3 linked regions of the Canis lupus familiaris genome follow. The protein of the gene in region 2 interacts with the protein of the main gene of each other region in a pairwise test. Links are inferred from orthologs where the notes say so. Each region holds a gene or a part of one and is shown on either strand. Other genes may lie near its edges.

Region 1 (7,922 bases), on a different chromosome or scaffold from region 2:
TATTTTGTATGTTGTATTATTATATACTGTATTCTTACAATTGAGTGAGCTAGAAAAAAGAAAATGTTATTAAGAAAATCATAAAGGAAAATATTTACTGTACTGTACTTGTTGGAAAAAATCCACATGTATGTGTGCCCATGTGGTTCAAACTCATGTCGTTCAAAGGTCAATCATATATTCACAATGTGATCACCTTTTATCCCAGTCACTCCCATTCTGGTATATATAACCCACTATCATTTTTCTTGCCTGGACTACTGCAAAAGCCTGTTAATTCAACTTGCTGCTCCTCCTTTTACTTCCTCTGCAGTCTAATCTCCAAACTGCCAGAATGAGTTTTTAAAAATGTAAATCAGATCCTATCACCTCCCCACTGAAAACTTTCCAAATGCTTCCCACCATATATCAGTCTCTCCACAGGCTATCCAGCCCTGTACAACCTTGTCCAGCCTGTCTTTCTGACCTCTTCCACCACTTCCCCCCTTATTCATTCTGCTCAAATCACACTGCTTTACTCTTGCAGTTCATTCAACAGGAGAAATTAAGGACCTTAGACACGCTTTGCCTTGGTGAGAATGCTCCTTCCCTCACAGCGTGATCATTTTTCTTTAAAATACTTATCAGAGACACCTGAGTGGCTCAGAGGTTGACCATCTGCCTTTGATTCAGGTCAAGATCCCGGGGTCCTGGGATTGAGTCCCACATCGGGATCCCCACAGGGAGCCTGCTTCTCCCTCTGCTGTGTCTCTGCCTCTCTCTGTGTCTCTCATGAATCAGTAAATAAAATCTTTTTTAAAATAAATAAAAATAAATAAATAAATAAAATACTTATCAATACTTGACATTATATCTTTGTTTTTCCTTACTAGATTTTAAACTACATGAGGGCAGGGACTTTTTCTTCTTCACTGCTGTATCCAACATCTAAAACAGTGGCTGGCACAAGGAAGGCATGCACGGTGTTTCTCAAATGAACTGAAGAACATCACTTTAAGGTCAGGCAGATCAAAACAAGCATTTTTTTATAACGCTAACTGACTCGATTTGTAAACATAATGAAAATAGGCCCAAGCTAACCAGTTTTCCCCACTCAGCAAGTACTAACTATGAGACATCTGTTTGTCACACAAGAATAAGTAAGGACAGCATCTATGCTTTCCCGGCCACCAATACCTTTTGGTCCAGATATCATGTAACAATCAGTCCAGATATCATTTCAGAACAGAACAATGACTGGAATCTGAGGAAGGACAAATACAATGACCACACTGAACATAGAAAAATTTCAAAGACTTTAAAATTAACCTACTTATTTTCTATTGATAGAAAGCATTGACTGATTAACAGCTTCAGTAAAAATATCTACTAAGCATTTTTCCCTCTGCATTCTTATTCTACCAATCTGTTTTTATTTTTTTTAAGATTTTTTTTTTGAGAGACAGTGAGCGAGAGAGCACAAGTGGGAGGCAGAGGGAGAAGCAGTCCCCCCCCTCCCCCCGAGCAGGGAGCCCCATGTAGGGCTTGATCCCAGGACCCAGAGATCACAACCTGGTGTCCCCAATCCCTAATTTTATTTTTTTTTAATTTTTTTAAATTTATTTATGATAGTCACAGAGAGAGAGAGAGGCAGAGACATAGGCAGAGGGAGAAGCAGGCTCCATGCACTGGGAGCCCGACGTGGGATTCGATCCCGGGTCTCCAGGATCGCGCTCTGGGCCAAAGGCAGGCGCCAAACCGCTGTGCCACCCAGGGATCCCCCAATCCCTAATTTTAAAGGAAAAAACTGGACAGTATTTTTAGATCAGTGGCTCTCATATTTAGTCGGTACTAGTATTTACAGAGAGTATTAAAAACGCTCTCAAGGTCCCATCTCCAAACATTACAATATTTCAAAGAGGGAGGAAGGGATCTATAAATTTAACAAGCACTCAAGGATATTACAATGCAGGTACACCAACAATCGCTTTAAAATACAGTCTAGAAAATCTAAACAAGCTATAACCAATCCTCCTGTCAATGACCTCAAACCAAAATGAGAATGACCTCGATCCTAGCTTTTGAGCCTTTTTTTTCCCTCTCTCTTTATAAATGTAATTTAACTAAATTGCATAGATTATGGGAAACAAAGAGAAAAGAGGAAGAAAAAGGCAGTATCATCTCACCACTCCAATAAAGCTCTGGTTAGCATTTTGGTATACTTTCTCCTATCCACATCTCTAGGTATATGTTTGTTCCCTTACTCTTCACAATTTTATCCACAGCACAGTTTCCAGGGCTATTATACACATTTCCCATGTTAATATTACCTCGTCCTCATCAGTCTCCTGCTCAGTAGCATTATACTGCATCTAAAGTACTATCATTGTTTATCTAACCATTCCCTCCAGCTAACTGCTTCCTTACTACTATAAATAACCCAGCTGTAAATATTTTTATACACATTTTTTTCAGTACCTGAACACGGGGGGGGGGGGGGGGGGGGGGGGGGGGGAGGCAGGGCATCTATAGTGCCAAACTGTTCTGCCACCACCTTTATCAGAGAAGGCTTTTCCAATATTATCTTAGCTTTTCCAATATTATCTTTAAAATACTGGGAGGAAAGGGTTTGCTTTTAATTTCTATTTCTTTACTCACTGAGGTTAAACATTCTTTGTTAATCGGCTGTATCTTTTTTTTTTTTATTCATGAGACACAGAGAGAGAGGCAGAGACACAGGCAGAGGGAGAAGCAAGCTCCATGCAGGGAGCCCGACGTGCGACTCGATCCAGGGTCTCCAGGATCAAGCCCTGGGCCGCTAAACCGCTGAGCCACCCGGGCTGCCCAGCTCTATCTTTTCTTTAAGTGAGTTATCTACCCTGCCTTTTGCCCACTTTTTATGGGACTTTAAACTTTTTTTTTTAATATTTTTTATTTATTTATGGTAGTCACAGAGAGAGAGAGAGAGAGAGAGGCAGAGACATAGGCAGAGGGAGAAGCAGGCTCCATGCACCAGGAGCCCGACGTGGGATTCGATCCCGGGTCTCCAGGATCGCGCCCTGGGCCAAAGGCAGGCGCCAAACCGCTGCGCCACCCAGGGATCCCTTATGGGACTTTAGTATTCCTTTTCTACTTCTTTTATCTTTGTATTGTTTCCCACTAATCTTCCTGATCGAGCTGTGGACGGACTAGGTATCTGTTCACGACCTGTTTTTTTGGCTCAGCACCACCCAAGACTCTGCTAGTTTAGGAAGACACTGTTGTCAGGCACCCTCTAGATGGAATGAAGCACTCACGGTCTTCCTTCCGAGGCTGCTGTTACCTTGGCCAGTCGCTTGACTTTTCTGGACCCCAATCCCAAATGGGGAAGTATAAAAAAACAATACCTACACTTCCCCAACCGGACTTCTGTGAATGCAAGCTAATAATGCCAAACGATTAGCTCCCTTCCGTGAACTAGAATGAATCAGAAGCCCGTGTAGCATTCTCCGATGAGCCAAAAGCAAACTCCTCAACACTGGCGGCTGGGTTTGTTTTTAAGCAGATGTGACCTTGTCTGCAGAAAGGCCACACCTACCTGTTTTGGTCCTGCCTCCCTGGGTCCTGACAACCGAGGCAGAGGCTAACGAAAAAGGAGTCGGAATTTATAACGCAAAAAATGGGTCCTACGAGAGTTCTCCGCTCCCCGACCCCCACCCCCCGCCGGTCCCCAAGAAAAGGACAAGTAAAACTTGGCGAATGGGCCCTCGGGACAAGCTGGTCCACACCGCAGCCCACCGGTGCTCCGATCCCGAAGGTCGGCGACAGTCGGGGGCCGGACCCGACCAGGAGGGCGCTCGCCCAGCGGACGCGGACACGGGACGGTGCCCGGCCGCCGGGAGGAAACTGAGGCCCGGACCCGCGGGAGAGGGCCGCGGGGGGCCGCTCACCTCAGCAGCGCCAGGAAGGCGGCGGGCTCCACGTCGGGCAGCTCGATCTCGGCCGACGTGGTGGCCATGCCGCCGTTGAACATGGCGTCGAAGACGGCGCTGCCGGCCGCCAGCACGAAGCGGTGCGCGGGGATGCGCTGCGGGCCCCCGGCCGCCGCCGCGCCGCGGCCCTTGCCCAGCACGAAGCGCACATCGCTCAGCAGCTCCGAGTTGAAGAGGAAGGCGAAGCGCTCCTTCAGCGACGCCTTGGTCGCCTGCCAGTTGTACAGCGGCTCCCGCTGCAGGGGGAGCAGGGGCCCCAGAGAGGACGGCGGCGGCGGCGGCGGCGGCGGAGGCCCCGCGGCGCCCGGTTCCGCCTCGGCCCCCGGGACCTGCTCGCCCGCAGCGGCCGGCCCGAGCGAGGCCATCCTCCAGCGGCGCGGCAACTCGGGCTAGGCAGAGAGCTCCCGCCGCCCAGCAGCCATCACCGAGGCCGCCCCGGAGGCCGGCGCCGCCTGGGTGCCTTCCGGGAAAGGCGCTTCCGGCGGCCGCGCCCCGCCCCGCCCCGCCCCGCCCCGCCCACGGCTGCCCCGCCCCGCCCCGCCCACGGCTGCCCGGCGCGCGCCTCTCTGGCCCCGCCCCGCTCCGCTCCGCCCCGCCCACGGCTGCCCGGCGCGCGCGCGACCGCCGGAGCCGAGCCCCCGAAGCTCGAAGCCCTGAGCGGTGGGCGGGGGTTCCCGAGGCCCTGTGCACGCCCCTGCGCACCCCGACCCACAGCCTGCCCTCATCAGCTGCAGTGCCTCCCACGTGTCCCAGGGGCAGGTCCCTAGGCTGTCCCTCCAGGACTTTCCCCGCCTGCAAACGGGCGGGGGCGCCGAGGACTTGGCCACAGGAGCACGGGGGAGGGGACGACAGGATTTCCCCCCCCTTCCCTTATAATGTCCCCTCCTCCGCAGGGTAGCAGAGCTTGGACTCCTCTCTGCTCAGCAGCCCCCATTCTTCCTCTCTGTTGTCTCTGTATCACTGTGGACTCATGGAATCTTTTTTAAAATGTCTTATAATCCATTGCTAAAAATTAACAGTATCTTAAATCTAAAAACAAAACAACAACAACAAAAAAACCCACAACCACTCAAGTGTACCAGAGCAAAAATAGAGGCTATATTATCTAGTACTGAGCAATGATCATAATTTAATCGCAGGAAATCTGAGGACACGGCGTTTCAAAACTTGCGGAATGCAACGAAAGCTGAGTTCAAGGCTAAAGTATAGCCCAAGCCACTCTTTCTGCGCAACTGGAAATAGTAAAAATTAAATGAAGTAGAGGATTCTGGGAAGGTGGCAGAGGAGGAAGCACCCGGGAATCTAGCTCCCCTCCTAGATAGCAGCTGCTGGCGGGATCTGTGTGGTGGGGCTATTTTGGAGGCCTGGAGCCTGTTGAAAGCAGTAACTTCTAGGGGAAGATTTGGACAGTACGTCACTGTCAATTTCTGTCAATTTCAGATCTTTGCACAGAAGCAGCTACCCATCCCTCATCCCCAGCCACATGGAAGGCAGGCAGCTGCACCCATGTTCATGGAGCACCAAGCACACCGTCTGGAGGAGCCACAGTGGGCAAAAGGAACCTGTTCTCAGAATATCCGGGCTCTGGGCGTGGATTCTTGCTTGCAATCACAATCCAAAGAGGCAGGCAGCAGGTCTTTGCATTTCTTCCTTTGTTGCAAGCACTTCCTTCCTTCAGCAGAAATGACTTCCACTGTATTTAAAGGACCAGCACCCAATTCACCCTCCATTTTCTTACGTTTTCCCCTTTTGGGAGTCAGACATTAAAAACTACTGCAATAGAAAAACAACTGCAGACGCTTGGGTGGCTCAGCAGTTGAGCATCTGTTTTTGGCTCAGGGTGTGATTGTGGTCCCCTGGTCCCGGGATCAAGTCCCACATTGGGCTCCATGCCGGGAGCCCGCCTCTCCCTCTGTTTATGTCTCTGCCTCTCCTCTGTGTCTCTTGTGAATAAATAAATAAAATATTTTTTTTAAAAAAAGCTGCATATTGGGGCAAATTAGAAAATGATCATCCATACCCAAGGAAAGGCTGAGTGAAGACCTTAAATTTACACCTCAGGCTGATCCTTGGCATAGAGAAAATAATCCTACAGCAATAAAAAAAAACAAAACAATAACAAAAAAGCAGCAAACCCCAGGGAAGCAGGAGAATCTGATTTCCAGAGTTACCATATTACTAGATTTAAATGTCCCATGTTCAACAAAAAGTTGCAAGGCATACAAAGAAACAGGAAAGTATGGTCCATTCAAAGGGAAAAAATAAGCAGAAACAGTCCTTGAAGAAGATCTAGTGGCAGATGATAGGGGAACACAGGGCAAGCTGAGGACAAGGCTTTATTTAGCTTGGGGCAGCACGGGGCAGCACATTGACAATTCCTTGACAATTTAGGCAAGGGACATCCCTCAACGGACTCAACTGCCTCGATGTTCATACTCTGCTAAGGGCAGAAGGCAATCTTAGCCCAACCCCCAGGAGCCTGTAAGTCTACTTTAACATATAAAAATTCCTTTAGAAATTTCCTTTATCTCTACCCACCAGGATATGTGTTGGTGATCATCCCCCAAGCACATAGCGCACCCCGATACACATCTGAAGGGTCTCATGACTCAGGTCTTATTAGCCAGTAATAAGTGACCTTTCCCCCAACAATAGCTAACCTCCTCAAGGTCCTGGAAAACTTGCTTCCAAAATTCCTTAGTACGCTATCCCCAAAACCCTCCCAACTTCCAGGTATATAATCAATCACCCCTCATAGACCTGGGGTGGCAACTCTTGATTGATCTGTCTGTCCATAGATCCTGTCCCTGTGCTTTAATAAAGCCACCATTTTGCACCAAAGACGTCTCAAGAATTCTTGGCCATCAGCTCCAGACTTCACCTATATTCCAAAACTTCATCAGCAGATATACAAGGCAAACTTTAAAATAACTGTCCCCCCCACTTTTTTTAAGATTTTATTTATTTGACAGGGACCACAAGTAGAGGGAGGGGCAGAGGGAGAGGGAGAAGCAGGCTCCCCAATGCCAATGCCCATGCCAATGTTGGGGCTCCATGCCAGGACCCTGGTATTATGATAACCCACTGAGCCACCCAGGTGCCCCTAAAATAACTGTCTGACAGTTGCTCAGAGAATTTAAGGAAAATATGGAAGAGACCAAGAAAATGATGTATGAACAGAATGGAAATGTCAATGAAAAGATAGAAAACCTAAAAAGAAACAAACAAAAAACACCCCACAATTTCTGGAGCTGAAAAGTACAATAACTACGTGAAAAATGCCCTAGAGGTATTCAAAGGCAAATTTGAGCAGAAGGAAGAAAGAATCTGCAAACTTGAAGATGAGACCATAGAAATTATTGAGGTAGAGAACAGAATGAAGAAAGAGAGGAAAAGCAAACAGAGCCTAAAGGAGATACCAGACACCCTAAAACAGACCAACCTACACATTGTGGGGGCCCTGGAAGATGAAAGAGAGAAAGCAGCAGAGAGAATATTTGAAGAAATAATAGCTGAAAACTTACAAACCAAAAACTGATGGAAATGAAGGGGGAAATAGTTCTACAACAATGGTTGAAGATTTAAATATCCTATGCATAATAATGGATAGGACAAACAGAAGATAAATAAGGAACTAGAGGACTTAATGCAACAGACCACCAAGGTCCTACAAACATAATAGCACTCTCTACGCGACAATAGCATACACATTCTTACCAAGGGCACATGGGACATTTTCCAGGATAGACCATAGGTTAGAACAGAGATTAAGTCCCAGGAGATTTAAATAGATGTTATATAAAACATCTTCTGGGGCCCCAACGCGATGAAGTTAGAAATCAAAAGGAAAAAAAGGAAAACTGGAAGACCCTCAAAATTGTGGAAATGAAACAACATACTTTTAAACAACCAATGGGTCAAAGGAAAAATCACCAGGGAAATTAGAAAATACTTAGAGACAAATGAAGATGA
Region 2 (7,184 bases):
CAAATTGGAAACATTCTAGGGGGTCCATCAACAGAATAAATACATGGTCTGGTCAGACACATTAGGGATAGTCATAGATTATACCATATATACTAGCAGTTGGATGAAGTGAACTAATGAATGCAGCAACATGGATGAATCTTTTTTTTTTTTAAGATTTTATTTAAGAAAAAAAATTTTAAGAGAATGAGCATAGGGGGAGGGGCGGTGAGAGGGATAGAGAGAGAATCTCAAGCTCAGTGCAGAGCCTAATATAGGGCTCAATCTCACAACCCTGAGATCGTGACCTTGAGCCAAAATCAAGAGTCAGACACTCAAACCAACTGAGTCACCTAGGCACCCCAACGTGGATGAATCTTAAAATACATGTTGAAAAGCCTAGACACACAAGCCTATACTGTATGATTCTGTTTATATAATACTTTAAATTAGGCAAAATCTAATCTATGATGATAGAAATTAAAGAACAGTGATTGCTTAGTTGTTGATTAACCAGAAAGGGGCATGAGTGAACTTTCTCTAATGATAGAGAATACTCTCTCCCTCTCTCTCTCTCTTTTTTTTTTAAGATTTTATTTTTTTAATTCATGAGAGACACGCAGAGGGAGCAGGAGGCTCCCTACGAGGAGCCCGATGTGGGACTTGATCCCAGGACCCCTGGATCCCGACCTGAGCCAAAGGGAGATGCTCAACCACTGAGCCACCCAGGTGCCCTGAGAATAGTCTGTGTCTTAATGGGATGTAGGTTACATGGGTTATGAATTGTCAAAACTGATCAAACTATATAACATAAAATCTTTTCTAAAAGATTCAGAATAGGGACACCTGAGTCCTGTATAATCAAGTTAGATTCTTATCCATACAAAAGTTTGGGTAGGGGAAAATGGAAAGGGTTAAAGGCAAGCTTCCTATAGTGGATACCTTGTTTTACTGAGACGGTTTTGATGATGACCTTATCTGGAAAACCGAAATGGGTATTTTATTTTCTAGTAGTCTGAGAAAGCTTGTTCAAGTGTAATTTACTGTCTGCTTAGAGAAACTTCGAAGACAGCAGGGATAAGCATACTTCCTGGAGCCAGCCTTCCCTTAGACCTAGACAAGGTGGCATCTGCCCCCACCCTCCCATCTTTGTATCCTTATTTGAGACTCCTGGATCCTTGCATCAAGAGCCCAGCCATCCTGTGAAGAAAAGTTGATCTTGTGGTATCCTCTGTGAATAACTTATTTGTTGCGTTTTTCTAAACCTTGTTTTGGTGGCATGACTAAGGAATTGGGCAAATGTAACCCTATGGGACTTTGAAGACTTGGAGTAAGGCTTTGGTAGGCCTATGTGCATTAGAGTGATGGCCAAGAGCCGGCTCCTTAACTGGAGACTATACTATTAAAGATGAGTCTTTGATGTCGTGTGTGTGTGTGTGTGTGTGTGTGTGTGTGTGTGTATAAGGGAGAGAGAGAGAAAGACATGATTGTCATGGAAATTTATTACTGACTCGTACATGAAGACAGCTGGTATCACACCTTTTTCTTCACCCTTTTAAATGTCAATATGTACTAAGAAAAATCTGAGAAATTTTAAGCTTCCCTTTGTCAGGAAATAGAACTTAGATATTTCTTCTTAGATATTGTATCACCAACTGCTTAATTGCCCACCCACAACAACAAGTAGTTACTGAACCTCTTATTTTATAGCCAAACAAGTACATACAACTTGGCCACACACAGTTGTGGGAGAGTGCTGATGAATCCTTAGCATACCCAGGTGAGCTTGCATTTCTGAGTGTTGTTAGAGCTAGACGTAGAAGATGTTTCTCACTTACACATAGCTCACTTTCCTGCATGCTCAGAAGGCTAGTTACCGTGACCATGATTATTAAACTTCAAGGACCAATGTCGCATGTCAGATGGGAACTAGGCATATGTGGGTAGAAATCACTATCCCTCTCTCTTGTGGTTGGGAGAATTAAGAGCAGAGATTCTTGGGTTCTTAAAATCCATCCTTGTGGGGGATCCCTGGGTGGCTCAGCGGTTTAACGCCTGCCTTTGGCCCAGGGTGCGATCCTGGAGTCTCAAGATTGAGTCCCACGTCGGGCTCCCGGCATGGAGCCTGCTTCTCCTTCCTCCTGTGTCTCTGCCTCTCTCTCTGAAAGGAAGGAAGGAAGGAAAGGAAAAAGGAAAGAAAGAAATAAGCAAACTAGCTAGCTTTAAAAAAAAAAAAAAATCCATCCTTGTAGTCATGTCATATAATTTGTTTTAGGCCTTAGAATACTCCCTGACCCTCTTGGGATTTCATAGATGTTTCTCCCCCCTTTCTTACCTTTCTCACTTGACATTAGTATCAGTCCTTGCTTGTGAATCTTGTTTCCATTCAATATGGTAGCAGAAATAATCTTCTGTCACTGTTGATTAGATTCAGTCTTTTCATACCCTTTTAAAAACACGTCATTGGCTTTAGAATAAATTTTTAGAACTTGTACCAAAAACTAATGTTTTGAGAAGAAAAAGTCTTCTCAGTAACATTGTTTCCCCTCAATCTAATCAAAAATACTCTTAAATGCAGAAGTTAGAAAATGGTGAATAATTACCACTGTTCCTGGAAGTCTTTGTGTTCCTTAGTAATTAATGTGTTGTGTCATCTTTGGTTCTGCTTCTTGACAGTCCATCAAACTGAATGGTTGTCTTGGATTTGTATTTAATGAAATTTAGTCCTAGCAGAAAACTGTTGGGTCACAGACTCTACAGCAGAGCATTGATGCTGATGTGGGGATGGGGATATTTATACCTTTGTATTGATAGAAGTCCATTTTGGGGACGTGCCATTTGGGCTTTTCCCAAGAACATAATCACTTTACAGAATGAAAGCCAGAGGCTGGCTTAGTAACTAGACAGGGGCCTGTTGTGCTTGACAGTGAAACGAGACTAACATGAGTTCTCACCAGGTTAGATACTCTAAAATTTCTCTTCAGTACTCTTCTTTTTCTACCTTGCTTATGCTCAGGTTCCTTTGGTTCAGAGCTCTGAGCTTGAATATTCAAAGTCTATTTTTACTCTACCATCCCTACACAATCTACATAGACCTTTGGGTTTGGGTCTTTGCAGGGTGAGAAAGACTGGCAGAAATATGAGACTGCTCGGCGACTGAAGAAGTGTGTGGATAAAATCCGGAACCAATATAGAGAAGACTGGAAGTCCAAAGAGATGAAAGTCCGGCAGAGAGCTGTAGCCCTATACTTCATAGACAAGGTGAGCATCTTCCTATCACATTGCCTAATACGTTGGGCTTACCAAATATGGGATTGTTTACATTTCCAGGCCTTGTGCTAAGTACTGGAGCAGTACCCATCTCTGGTCCAATAAGGAGGGTAGAAGTGGAGAGAGAGGCATTTGGAGTCTGCTGGTCTCTAAATCTGAATCTTCTGCAAATACTATGACATTTTCAAACTGAGTATAAGCCACCAAAAAAATTTTTATTTTACGTCATGACCCAACACACATAAATATATTTGTAGTTGTGTGTAACTGCAAAGCTGCACAAAACAGTGTTTAGCCTTTCTACAAGCAATGAATTCTGACATTTTAATTTTTTTCTTGTTTTTAAAAAGAATGGTTATAACCCTTAAAATTGGTTAAACAATCCATGAATGTTTCACAACTATACTTTGAAGGACCATGCTCTAGAGGAGATGAGTTTGTCACTACCTTTTTGAAGATTTTGGTTTCTTTCCCAATTTTGCACTGCTTAGCACAAAATCTAAATTATCTCAAAAATTAAGCAAAATTAGGAGACTACTGAGTCTATCACCCAGAATAGGAATACTCTCTTGTTTGCTGCTTTGTTGTTGTTGTTGTTTTTTTTTAATTTCTTCCTTTCCTCCATTCTTATTTGAGAGAACAGAGTAAAGAGAAGCTTGGTTTTATGAGAAAGGGTAATATCACTATGATTCTCTGTACTTCATTTTATAGAGGAAGGAGCATATAGAATCCAGAATTCCCAAGCCTTGCAGACTGATACTCTATCCCCAGAGTTAGGAGACTTCTGATTTGGATTTCCTAGAGATCGTAGAAAATTGAAGTTTTTTCATTTGCTCTCATTTCTCCCTACTTCCTGGACAGCTTGCTCTGAGAGCAGGCAATGAGAAGGAGGAAGGAGAAACAGCGGACACAGTGGGTTGCTGCTCGCTTCGTGTGGAGCATATCAATCTGCACCCAGAGTTGGATGGTCAGGAATACGTGGTAGAGTTTGACTTCCTTGGAAAAGATTCGATCAGATACTATAATAAAGTCCCTGTTGAGAAACGAGTAAGTTACTTTGGCCTGTGCACCCTGGCCTGTTTTTCCTTCATTTCTTTCGTTCGTTCGTTCGTTCATTCATTCATTCATTCATTCAGCAAGCATATATTGAGTGCTTTTTGTATGCTCTTCACTTGCTGAACACTAGGGAAATAGTTTGAAAGAGAGAGGAGAGGTATTGGTTGTCCTGTGTACCTCCTTTTAGTCCCTGTCCCTCACCTACCACCCCGTGCTACACCTTCCTGGGAATGAGGGCACCATGTCCTAAAGTAACAGTCAACAGTGCATGCTGTAGAGTGTTGGCCCTAGTGGCAAACTTTAGCATAAGATTTAACTCACCTTACTGTAATGATTCAACCACATTTCCATACCCCCGGTCTTGTTGCATATTTGTCATTTTTGTAACTTTGCTCAACCTCTCTCTGAACTCCTGACTGAGCCAAGCAATAGCCCTTTAGTCCTCAAATCTCTGAGCCCATACCCAAAGAGGGCACTGCAGCTCCATGTCCATCCGTCCCCCCCCCCCCCCCCAACTCTTGGGCTTGAACCTGTAATCTAGCCCTTTAAAAGTCTGATATTTAATCAGTCATTAGGCTTTGTTGGCTGTGGCAGTGGTCCATACTAAAGAAGTGCTAAAGAGACATGACAACTAAATGTAATACCTTAGATTGGATTCCATCCTGGAGAAGTAGAGGACATCATTAGGTCAGCTGACCAAATTGGAATATGAACAGTAGATTGAAGCATATATACATGCAAATTTATGAAGCTGATAAGTACTGTGTGAATGCAAGGGAGTATCTCTATCCTTAGGAAGTTCTTAGGAAATACACGGAGATATTTAAGGATAAAGGGCTCATAAATGATTCAGGACAAACAGTTGTGTGTCTACACACATGTATGTAGAGATGGAAGTGAGGCAGACATGTATTGTGCAATGGTGAATGTTGTATAAAACGTTAATGGTCAGTGAATCGGTAAAAGGATGTGGGTATGGGTATGCCTTATGCTTTTTTATTTTCTAAGTTTTTGTAAGTTTGTAATTATTTCCAAAGTAAAGGCTTTTTAAATAATAGGTTCTACTTATTTTCCTTTAGGTTTTTAAGAACTTACAGCTATTTATGGAGAACAAACAGCCTGAGGATGATCTTTTTGATAGACTCAATGTGAGTGGACAGATTGCACGGGTTGAAGGAGGGGCCCAGCCGGAGCCTCCTCACAAGCTCCTAAAGGAGAGGTTTGCCTGGGGGTGACTTGGACTACTATCCCTTCAGTTTGTCCTGTGGCATCCTATACACTGTTCCTTCTGCAGGCACACAGTGAATCCATGACCAAAGCCCTCAGACAGGTGGACAGACCCTACCTTTTATTCTCTTCTGGCTCTTGCAGAGTCGTCTTTTGGCTGGATACCCAGCCATCTCTGAGATTGAAGGCCTCTCCCTATATCTTATCAGGGAAGATCTTAATGGGGGAAGGACAAATTTGCTTTATTGTCCTGCTTAAGATTAACATACTTCATAGGGAGATATCACGCACCCTGTGTTTTGGAATTTTTTTCTAACTTCCCACTGGCAGGGCAATAAACTTGGCAAACTTGAGATTACACTGGTATAAATGTCCTAGGGCTTGCCAGAAGGGGCAGAGTGGTTTAGCTTTTGCATAAATCCCAATATCCTCTCTGTGCTTTGTCTCCTCCAGACTGGTATTCTAAATAAGCATCTTCAGGATCTTATGGAGGGCCTGACAGCCAAGGTGTTCCGTACATACAATGCCTCCATCACGCTACAGCAGCAGCTAAAAGAACTCACAGCCCGTAAGTACTTGTTGGCCAGACAGGCTTGCACACTTCCTGGTATGTCCATTGCCCTTGCTGAGCTAAGTCCTAGAGCTTTTCTGCTATTCTCCTTAATTTTTATCACTGGAAACTTTTCCTTCTATACCTCTAATAGAGAGCCAAGGCCTAGTTGTATAAACATAAAATCAGTGTAGTTTCCCCCTTCCTACCCCAAGTTCAAGATTTATTTTCGTGGAATGCTGACAGGAGCTTTCTGAAAGTACCTACATTTGATGGTTTATATGTATGTTTTTTGAAAACTCACAGAGTGAAGACATAGTGCTATGATGCTTGGTTAAATTGGAGAGAATAAGGTTTTCATGGTTATTTTTTAAACCAGGAGCACATCCTTCCCCTGAGGTTTCTGTCACCCCCCCCCCTTAAAATAGTAGGTAGTATTTTCCTAAAAACTAGGTGCAGAAGGTACAACCAAGATACACAAGCTTTTTTTCCCTAGAGCCCAGTCACTGCTAAATTCTACCTATCCTCTAAAAGTACATCAAATAGCTTTAGAATATAAGACTAAAAATCCAAAGAGGATGTTTTGAGGGCCAGTATATTAGGGTGGGATAAAGGGTGCTATGTGACATAAGTAAAATATTCCTCATGCTTTTAATCTTTCTGTGTAAAACACATACTGCCTTTTGGTTTTAAAATATAAAGCTTGTGATCCTTTTGTCTTACCCTCCTCTACAGACCTTTTCTGTCCCAATTCCACATTTTCTTCAGGCTACATTGAGTGGGGGAAACAGCCTTTGAGACAAGCAGATGACTCTTGACTCTCAGGTTTTGACCTTGTGTCTTGGGAGAACTTGATTATTTGAGTGAGTTGAGGACCAGCAAAGTCATGAGGAAGCAGCACTGGGGAAGGCATGTTGTGTATTCTTCTTGTGTATACATACTGACTCTTTCACCCTTATGTTTCTTTCTTCACAGCGGATGAGAACATCCCAGCAAAGATCCTATCTTATAACCGTGCCAACCGAGCTGTTGCAATCCTTTGTAACCATCAGAGGGCACCACCCAAAACTTTTGAGAAGTCTATGATGAACTTGCAGTCTAA
Region 3 (7,184 bases), on a different chromosome or scaffold from region 2:
CTGGCCTGGGGGCGTCCCGCCGGGAAGGAAGCGGGCCTGCTGGATAGACCCGTGTCCTGGTGGCCGGTGGGTGGGGTCGCCGCCGGCTGGTCTGGCAGATAAGGGTCTTTGCCAGGTCCTATCTGCGGGGCACAGCGACAGGTGCCGGTTCTGGAAGGCTCCGGCTGGGCCGGGGGGCGGGGGCTGGAGCGGCGCCTGCCAGCTGCGTCCGCTGGTCCTAGTGTCCTGTCCCCTTAGGTTTCTCTACTCGGATGAGGTTCAGATCGGACCCGAGACCGTCATGACCACGCTGTACACCGCCAAGAAGTACGCGGTGCCCGCGCTCGAGGCCCACTGCGTGGAGTTCCTGAAGAAGAACCTCCGGGCTGACAACGCGTTCATGCTGCTCACGCAGGTGCGGGCAGCGGGGGGGGGGGGGGTCCGGGGGGGATTAGGGGTGCGTGGGGCGGGGGGAGGCAGGAGTTCGGGAGGTTGTGGGGCGCGGGTGCACGGGGGTGGGGGACACGAGGCCGGCTGAGGATGCGCGTGTGCAGGGCAAGGACACAGGTGCGTGGGCTCCGGCGAGGGGGGGGATGAGGGGGCGCAGGGCGGGGGCGGAGGGGGCAGGTAGGGACGCGGTGCGCAGGGCTACGTGAGGAAGCAGAGGAAGCGGGTGTGCGGGCGCTTCAGGGCGCGATGCTCTGAGAACGCAGGTGCGGGGGGGGGGGGGGGCGAGGAGGGACCCAGAGACCAGAGGCAAGCGGGGCAGGTGAGGATGCTGGGACCGTGCAAATGTGGGGGGCGGGGACGGGAGCCAGAGGCCCCCGAGGGGGGTGGGGGGTTCGGGGAGTGGGTCTCCGTTTAACATCCCTTAGATTCTGCAGCCGAGCGCCTGCCCCCGCGGCGCGCTGACCCGGGCCTTCCAGCAGGCGCCTGGTTTCCCGCAGGCATTTGGAGGCCCCTCTTCAGGGTCCCGGGTGGGAGAAAGGGTTTTCTCATTTCATCATTCGGTTCCTTTGAGGTCGCTTTCAGGCCCCGTGGCGCCGGGGGTTGGGGTGGGGTTGGCGTGGGGTTGGCGAGGCCTCGGGGGCACAGGCGGGCAGGGGACAGGCCCGCCGGGGCAGGGGGGCTGTCCCGGGGCGGCCCCCGCACTGTCTCCAGACGCGTGGGTCGTCCGGTCGTCCAGGTTGCTCTGCGGCGCTGAGCCAGGCCTGTCGGGAGGCCCGGAGCTGCCCCGGCAGCCAGGCCGGGGGTGGACGTGAGCGGCCGTAGGGTTGTGCTGGGCAGGAGCTGGAATCTTCCCCGCCGCCCCGCCCGCCCCCCATCCTGTGCGCAGGTTCCCGATGGAGCCGTCTCCGGCGGTCAGGGCTGCACTGCGTCCTGTCCCCGGGCTTCCTGCCCCCTGGGGCCTGTCCTGTCGGCCTCGGCCGGTCCCGGGGCTGCTCAGTCTGGGCACCGTGGCCCCCGCGGGACTTGAACTCCATGGCAGGTTTGAGCCAGAGGGCGTCTGGGGCCCCCGCCCGGGCAGCGTGTTGACGTGCTCCCCCTCGCCAGGCACGACTCTTCGACGAACCGCAGCTGGCCAGCCTGTGCCTGGAAAACATCGACAAGAACACCGCCGACGCCATCACTGCCGAGGGCTTCACGGACATCGACCTGGGTGAGGCCCCGGGGCAGGTTTGGGCGGGGGGTGGCGCCCGCCGAGGGCGCGCGGGGCGCTGAGGTGTCCCCTCCCGCAGACACGCTGGTGGCCGTGCTGGAGCGGGACACCCTGGGCATTCGCGAGGTGCGCCTGTTCAGCGCCGTCGTGCGCTGGTCCGAGGCCGAGTGCCAGCGGCAGCAGCTGCCCGTGACGCCCGAGAACAAGCGCAAGGTGCTGGGCAAGGCGCTCGCCCTCATCCGCTTCCCGCTCATGACCATCGAGGAGTTTGCCGCAGGTAACGGTCAGGGGGCGGGGGCCGCTCGGCAGGAGCACGGCCCCCGGGGGCCCCAGGTGTGACTCGGTCACGGCGCTCCGGCGGCCGCCCGAGCCAGCTGCGGGACACAGGTGTGCCCGTTTGCCGAGGACGCGCCCGCCGCGCTCACGTGGACGGCTGGCAGCCCGTCGGTGTGAACACAGAACAGCCCACCGCCGCCCCCGATGGGCGTCTGGGTTTCCTCCCCTCCACGTCTCGAGTGTCCCTGTGTGTGCGCCCACTGAGGGCCCCATCTCGGGTTTGCGTCCTGGGGACGGGCCTGCAAGGGGTGGGAGGGGGCTGGCGAGGGGGTGCCCGGCCGGGCTTCCTGCCCCGTGTGGACGCAGTGCTGGCAGCGGTGCCTGACTTGGAGCCGTCCCCCACCCGGGGCTGGAGGGTCCGGGACGAGGCCCCGTGTCAGCCTGGTGGCCGGTGCAGACCTAGGGTCTCGTGTCTCCGTGCGCCCCGCTTCCCTGCTCGGCGTTGCCAGATTTAGCAACGACGGTAACTAGCTGTTTAGCGCGAGGATCTGCCGTGTGGGACGCACTGACCCTGCAGATGAGTCCTCTGACCTGAAGCTCAGGCTTCCAGGTCCCGCGTCGTAGCTGGCCTCCGCACGTCACGTCAGCGTGGGGGCAGAGCTGCGTCCGTTCCGGGATCTCCCGTGCACCTAACACTTAGCGAGGCCGTGTGTGGGCCAGGCCCCGGCTGTACGCGGTGACCTCGGTGGCCTCGGTGGCCTGGTTGTTGGGGGCGGGGCGCTGTCCTGGGCTGGGAGCAGCGTTGTGAAGAGGTGGCCCCAGATACGGCTCAGAGGGCCCGAGGGCACCAGGGTGCCGGAGACAGAGCTGCCCTGTCCCATCCCAACACCCCTGGGAGCCCTGCGGGGCCCCCGTCTCCAGCCTGGCTTGCACCCCAAAACCGCTCTCGGGGGTCCGCCTGCCCACCTGGCTGCCGAGCCCCCGGGGCCCCAAGCGCTACAGGTGCCGTCCGCTCGCCCTTGGCGTGGGGCCTGTCCTGTAAGGCCCCCAGGCCGCAGCGTCCCCCTGCTCTGCCCAGGTCCCCGGGAATGGCACTGCGTGTGTCCTCGGGGCCGGGCTGGGCCTTCTGGGCCTGTGCTCCGCGGAGGGCGCCCACGGGGCCTTGGCCCTCGTCACTCGGCCCGTCTTAGAGGCGCCCCTGCTGCTGTGTCCCGCTGGAAACACGACACTAGAGAAGCTCGCAGACTCCGCCGAGGCCGCGCTCCCGTGTACTTTCCTCCTGCATTTCCAATGCAGAGATTAAAAAGAACCATGGTTACCGCGCTGCGTTCCACGTTGTATCTTCCTTGCTCTCCGTGGGGCTGGCCCCTGGCCCGGCCGCCGTGTCCGCGCGCGGTGCTGTCACCAGCCTGCAGACCCGCTCCCCGACCCCCTCGGCCCCGCCCCGTCTCGGGGAGCCCGGGCGGGGCGGCCGGTGCTGAGCCGGGCTGGCGCTTGCTGGGGGCCCCGCGTCTCCGCGTGCGCGGCCGCCCCGCCGGCGCCGACCTCCGCCCCCTGTGCCCGCAGGGCCCGCGCAGTCGGGCATCCTCGTGGACCGCGAGGTGGTCAGCCTCTTCCTGCACTTCACCGTCAACCCCAAGCCGCGCGTCGACTTCATCGACCGGCCGCGCTGCTGCCTCCGCGGGAAGGAGTGCAGCATCAACCGCTTCCAGCAGGTGGAGAGCCGCTGGGGCTACAGCGGCACCAGCGACCGCATCAGGTGGGCCGGCGCGCCGGTGGGGGCCGTGGGGCCGCGGGGCCGGCCGCGGCTCAGCGCCCCCTCTGTCCGCCGCCCAGGTTCTCGGTCAACAAGCGCATCTTCGTGGTTGGCTTTGGGCTCTACGGCTCCATCCACGGGCCCACGGACTACCAAGTGAACATCCAGGTGCGCGCCCCCCCCGCCCCCCCCGCGGGCCTCCGTGGGGTCGGGGGCTGGTGAGCAGCGCCTGCTCCCCCCACAGATCATCCACACGGACAGCAACACCGTCCTGGGCCAGAACGACACGGGCTTCAGCTGTGACGGCTCCGCCAGCACCTTCCGCGTCATGTTCAAGGAGCCGGTGGAGGTGCTGCCCAACGTCAACTACACGGCCTGCGCCACGCTCAAGGTGCCCACCCCGACCCCAGAGCCTAGCGGGCCGCCGACGCCAGCTCTGCTGCCTCCTGGGGCCACGGGGGGCGGGGGGCCCTGGGAGGGGCTGTGCGGCTCGCCGCCGCTGGGGCCCTGGTGCCTGACCGCAGGACCCCCCACCAGGGCCCAGACTCCCACTACGGCACCAAGGGCCTGCGCAAGGTGACGCACGAGTCCCCCACGACGGGGGCCAAGACGTGCTTCACGTTCTGCTACGCGGCCGGAAACAACAACGGCACGTCCGTGGAGGACGGCCAGATCCCCGAGGTCATCTTCTACACCTAGGCCACCCGGCCCGAAGCCACCTGATGCAAGTAGGCCGCCCCCACCCACGCCGCGCCCCCGCGGTCCCCATGCTGTGTGCGCTCCCCGCCGCGGTCCCGGGCGTCAGGAGAGGGTCTCTGCTCCGTGCGGCGAGCCTGGCCGCCTGCTGAGGAGCCGGCAGGGGCTGCGAGGCGGTCCCTCAGGACTCGGGGGGCAGGGCTGGCCTGGACCCGGCCCGAGCTGAGGGTCCGCGGGGCCCCTGGGGAGGCAGTGCTGCCCGCCGCCCGCCTGGCCACAGGATTGATCGATTCCGCGTCACGTTCTCTCACCGCACACGGCAATGCACCCTGGATTCCCATTCCCTGGTAGGCGGGCTGTGGGGGCGCCCCTAGTGCGTTTGCTTGGGGTCTCGTGTTCTGGTCCATTCAGTGGGGACGCTGAGGCCACGCTGACCCTGGCCCCCGGCACACTGGCCGAAGCCCCCCAACCCCGAGGTCCCGCAGGCTGGCTTTGTGCCAGGCCCAGGCCCACCCGGTGGGCCCCGTGAGCCGCGGGCGTGGACCTCAGGCCCTGTCTGCCCGGCCGGGCAGTGCCGGGGGTCAGCCACGGTGGCCAGGTCCCCGCCTGCCCCCTGTACATACTGCAGCCCTGCCCCACCCGGCCTCTGAGTGAGCACTGTGGCCAGAGGTGCTGGAGGGCGCAGCCCCTCCCCCGTCCCCCCACCCGTGTTTCCACCCCAGTGATCCTCCTGGAAATTCCTCCCCAAAGCCATGGAAGGTGTGCCCTCCTCACACCATACCCTCAAAGGATTTTTTTAAATAAAGGAAAGAAACATAACCACGCTGAGTGCTTTTTCCTGTCGGAGGCAATGGGGCAGGACCGTGGCAGCTGAGACCTGGCTCTTCGCTCTGCAGCCGTTTCTCCCACCTTAAGATTAGGGGGCCCAGGAAGGGCCTGTGACTTCCGCCTGGGTCTAGAATCCGGCTCCTGACAGACGTCCCAGCCTCGGGGCACCCAGAGCCCTTGGGGGCTCTCCCCATGCCCTGTCCTCTGCACAAACTTCTGGTCTGCCCATCACACCCCTGCTGTCCAGCAAGGGGGGCCCCCAGGGAAGGCTCTGCTGCAGCGCGCCGCACCCACACCTTGCTGGCTCTGCCCTCTGGCCCTGGGACCGCGCCTGGCACACAGGAGCTCCCTAGGCTGTGCCTGTGCAACGAGGGTAACCTGACCCAGGCCCCCCACCTGGCTCCGCCCTGCGCGTCAGGGAGTTCCTGACAACAGGCATAGAACAGGGCCTGACAGCTAAAAATCTACCCAAATGAATAAAGACATCAATCAGCACATTTAAAAATCTCAATGACCCAAAGTGAGATAAATTTAAAAATATTTTTAGAAATTAGGGCAGCCCGGGTGGCTCAGGGTTTAGCGCCTGCCTTCAGCCCAGGCCATGATCCTGGAGACCCAGGATCGAGTCCCGCATCGGGCTCCCTGCATGGAGCCTGCTTCCCCCTCTGCCTGTGTCTCTGCTCCTCTCTCTCTCTGTCTCTTATGAATAAATAAAACCTTTAAAACAGTATTTTTAGAAATTAAAAAATAAAAATTCACATATGCTCAAACTGCTAAGAAATGGGAAAAAATCTGAAAAACAGGAGAGGAGCACCTGGATGGCTCAGTTGGTTAAGCATCCTGGTTTCAGCTCTGGCCATGATCTTGGGGTCATGAGATCGAGTCCTGCGTTGGGGTCTCCACTCAGTGTGGAGCCTGCTGGAGACTCTCCCCCTCTGCCCCTCCCCTAACTGGTTAGTGTACACGCTCTTTCTCGCTCGAAATAAATAAATTTCTTAAAAAAAAAAAAACTACACCACACTACAATTCTGTGCCCTTCAAAAATGAAAATAAATGCAATGGAAGTTAAAAAACACCAAGACAGGACCAAAACACCACGTCAGCTGTTACACACAGATCTAAACACCCCAATTAAAAGACTGTCATACTGGATACAAAACCAAAACAAAACTACTTCCTAATTATAAGAGTCTCATTTTAATTACAAAGAAACAGAAAAACTGAAGATAAAAGATGGTAAGTTTCACTACACAAACACTACCCTTATGAGAAAGTCGGTGGGCCGGCGTCTGTATCCGGCAAAGGCGACTTTATTTTTTTAATATTTTATTTATTCATTTATGATGGACATGGGGGGGCGGGGAGACAGAGGCGGAAGGAGAAGCAGGCTCCATGCTGGTAGCCCGAGGTGGGACTTGATCCCGGGGCTCCAGGATCACGCCCCAGGCCAAAGGCAGGCGCTAAACCGCTGAGCCACCCGGGGATCCCCCAAAGGCGACTTTAAAGCAGTGAGTGCCACTGGAGGTTAAGGACGACATCTCACAGCCATGAGCGGTTCTATTTGACAGGAAGAAGAACAGCCCTAAGCGTGTGCACCGTAGCATGGGTTTGAAATACCTAAATCCAGGGATGCTGGGGTGGCTCAGTGGTTGAGCATCTGCCTAGGGCTCAGGGCGTGACCCTTGGGGTCCTGGGATCGAGTCCCGCATCGGGCTCCCTGCATCAAGCCTGCTTCTCCCTCTGCCTGTGTTTCTGTCTCTCTCTGTGTCTCATGAACAAATAAAATCTTAAAAAACTAAAAAATATCTAAATCCAGAGTGAGCAGAACAGAACAGAGAAAGCTCTACTCCTAGTTGGGAATGAACAGCATCACAGCTCTCTCAACGAAAAAGATTTTGCCTGATCAGCATCTATAGAATGCTACGCGCCGGTGGCAGTGGAGTCAAGCTGGAAATAAACCAGGAAGATAAAAAGAAGCAAGTTTACATG

What was found.
Region 1: the proteins of TOP1 (region 2) and BTBD1 interact in a two-hybrid assay, tested with the Homo sapiens proteins (2 studies listed by BioGRID). The link is inferred for Canis lupus familiaris from reciprocal best matches to the Homo sapiens genes TOP1 and BTBD1.
Region 3: the proteins of TOP1 (region 2) and BTBD2 interact in a two-hybrid assay, tested with the Homo sapiens proteins (2 studies listed by BioGRID). The link is inferred for Canis lupus familiaris from reciprocal best matches to the Homo sapiens genes TOP1 and BTBD2.

What each region holds. Positions count from the first base shown.
Region 1 is NC_049224.1:55,321,994-55,329,915, forward strand, and holds the start of BTBD1 (BTB/POZ domain-containing protein 1), read right to left. Parts: upstream 4,398-7,922; 5' UTR 4,316-4,397; coding exon 3,909-4,315; intron 1-3,908.
Region 2 is NC_049245.1:29,728,802-29,735,985, forward strand, and holds part of TOP1 (DNA topoisomerase 1), read left to right. Parts: intron 1-1,463; exon of another isoform or gene 1,464-2,140; intron 2,141-2,314; exon of another isoform or gene 2,315-2,425; intron 2,426-3,096; coding exon 3,097-3,240; intron 3,241-4,110; coding exon 4,111-4,296; intron 4,297-5,384; coding exon 5,385-5,453; intron 5,454-5,985; coding exon 5,986-6,100; intron 6,101-7,057; coding exon 7,058-7,184. UniProt on the Homo sapiens protein: Releases the supercoiling and torsional tension of DNA introduced during the DNA replication and transcription by transiently cleaving and rejoining one strand of the DNA duplex.
Region 3 is NC_049241.1:57,473,005-57,480,188, forward strand, and holds the end of BTBD2 (BTB/POZ domain-containing protein 2), read left to right. Parts: intron 1-237; coding exon 238-394; intron 395-1,533; coding exon 1,534-1,639; intron 1,640-1,718; coding exon 1,719-1,916; intron 1,917-3,481; coding exon 3,482-3,674; intron 3,675-3,751; coding exon 3,752-3,839; intron 3,840-3,915; coding exon 3,916-4,062; intron 4,063-4,208; coding exon 4,209-4,370; 3' UTR 4,371-5,186; downstream 5,187-7,184.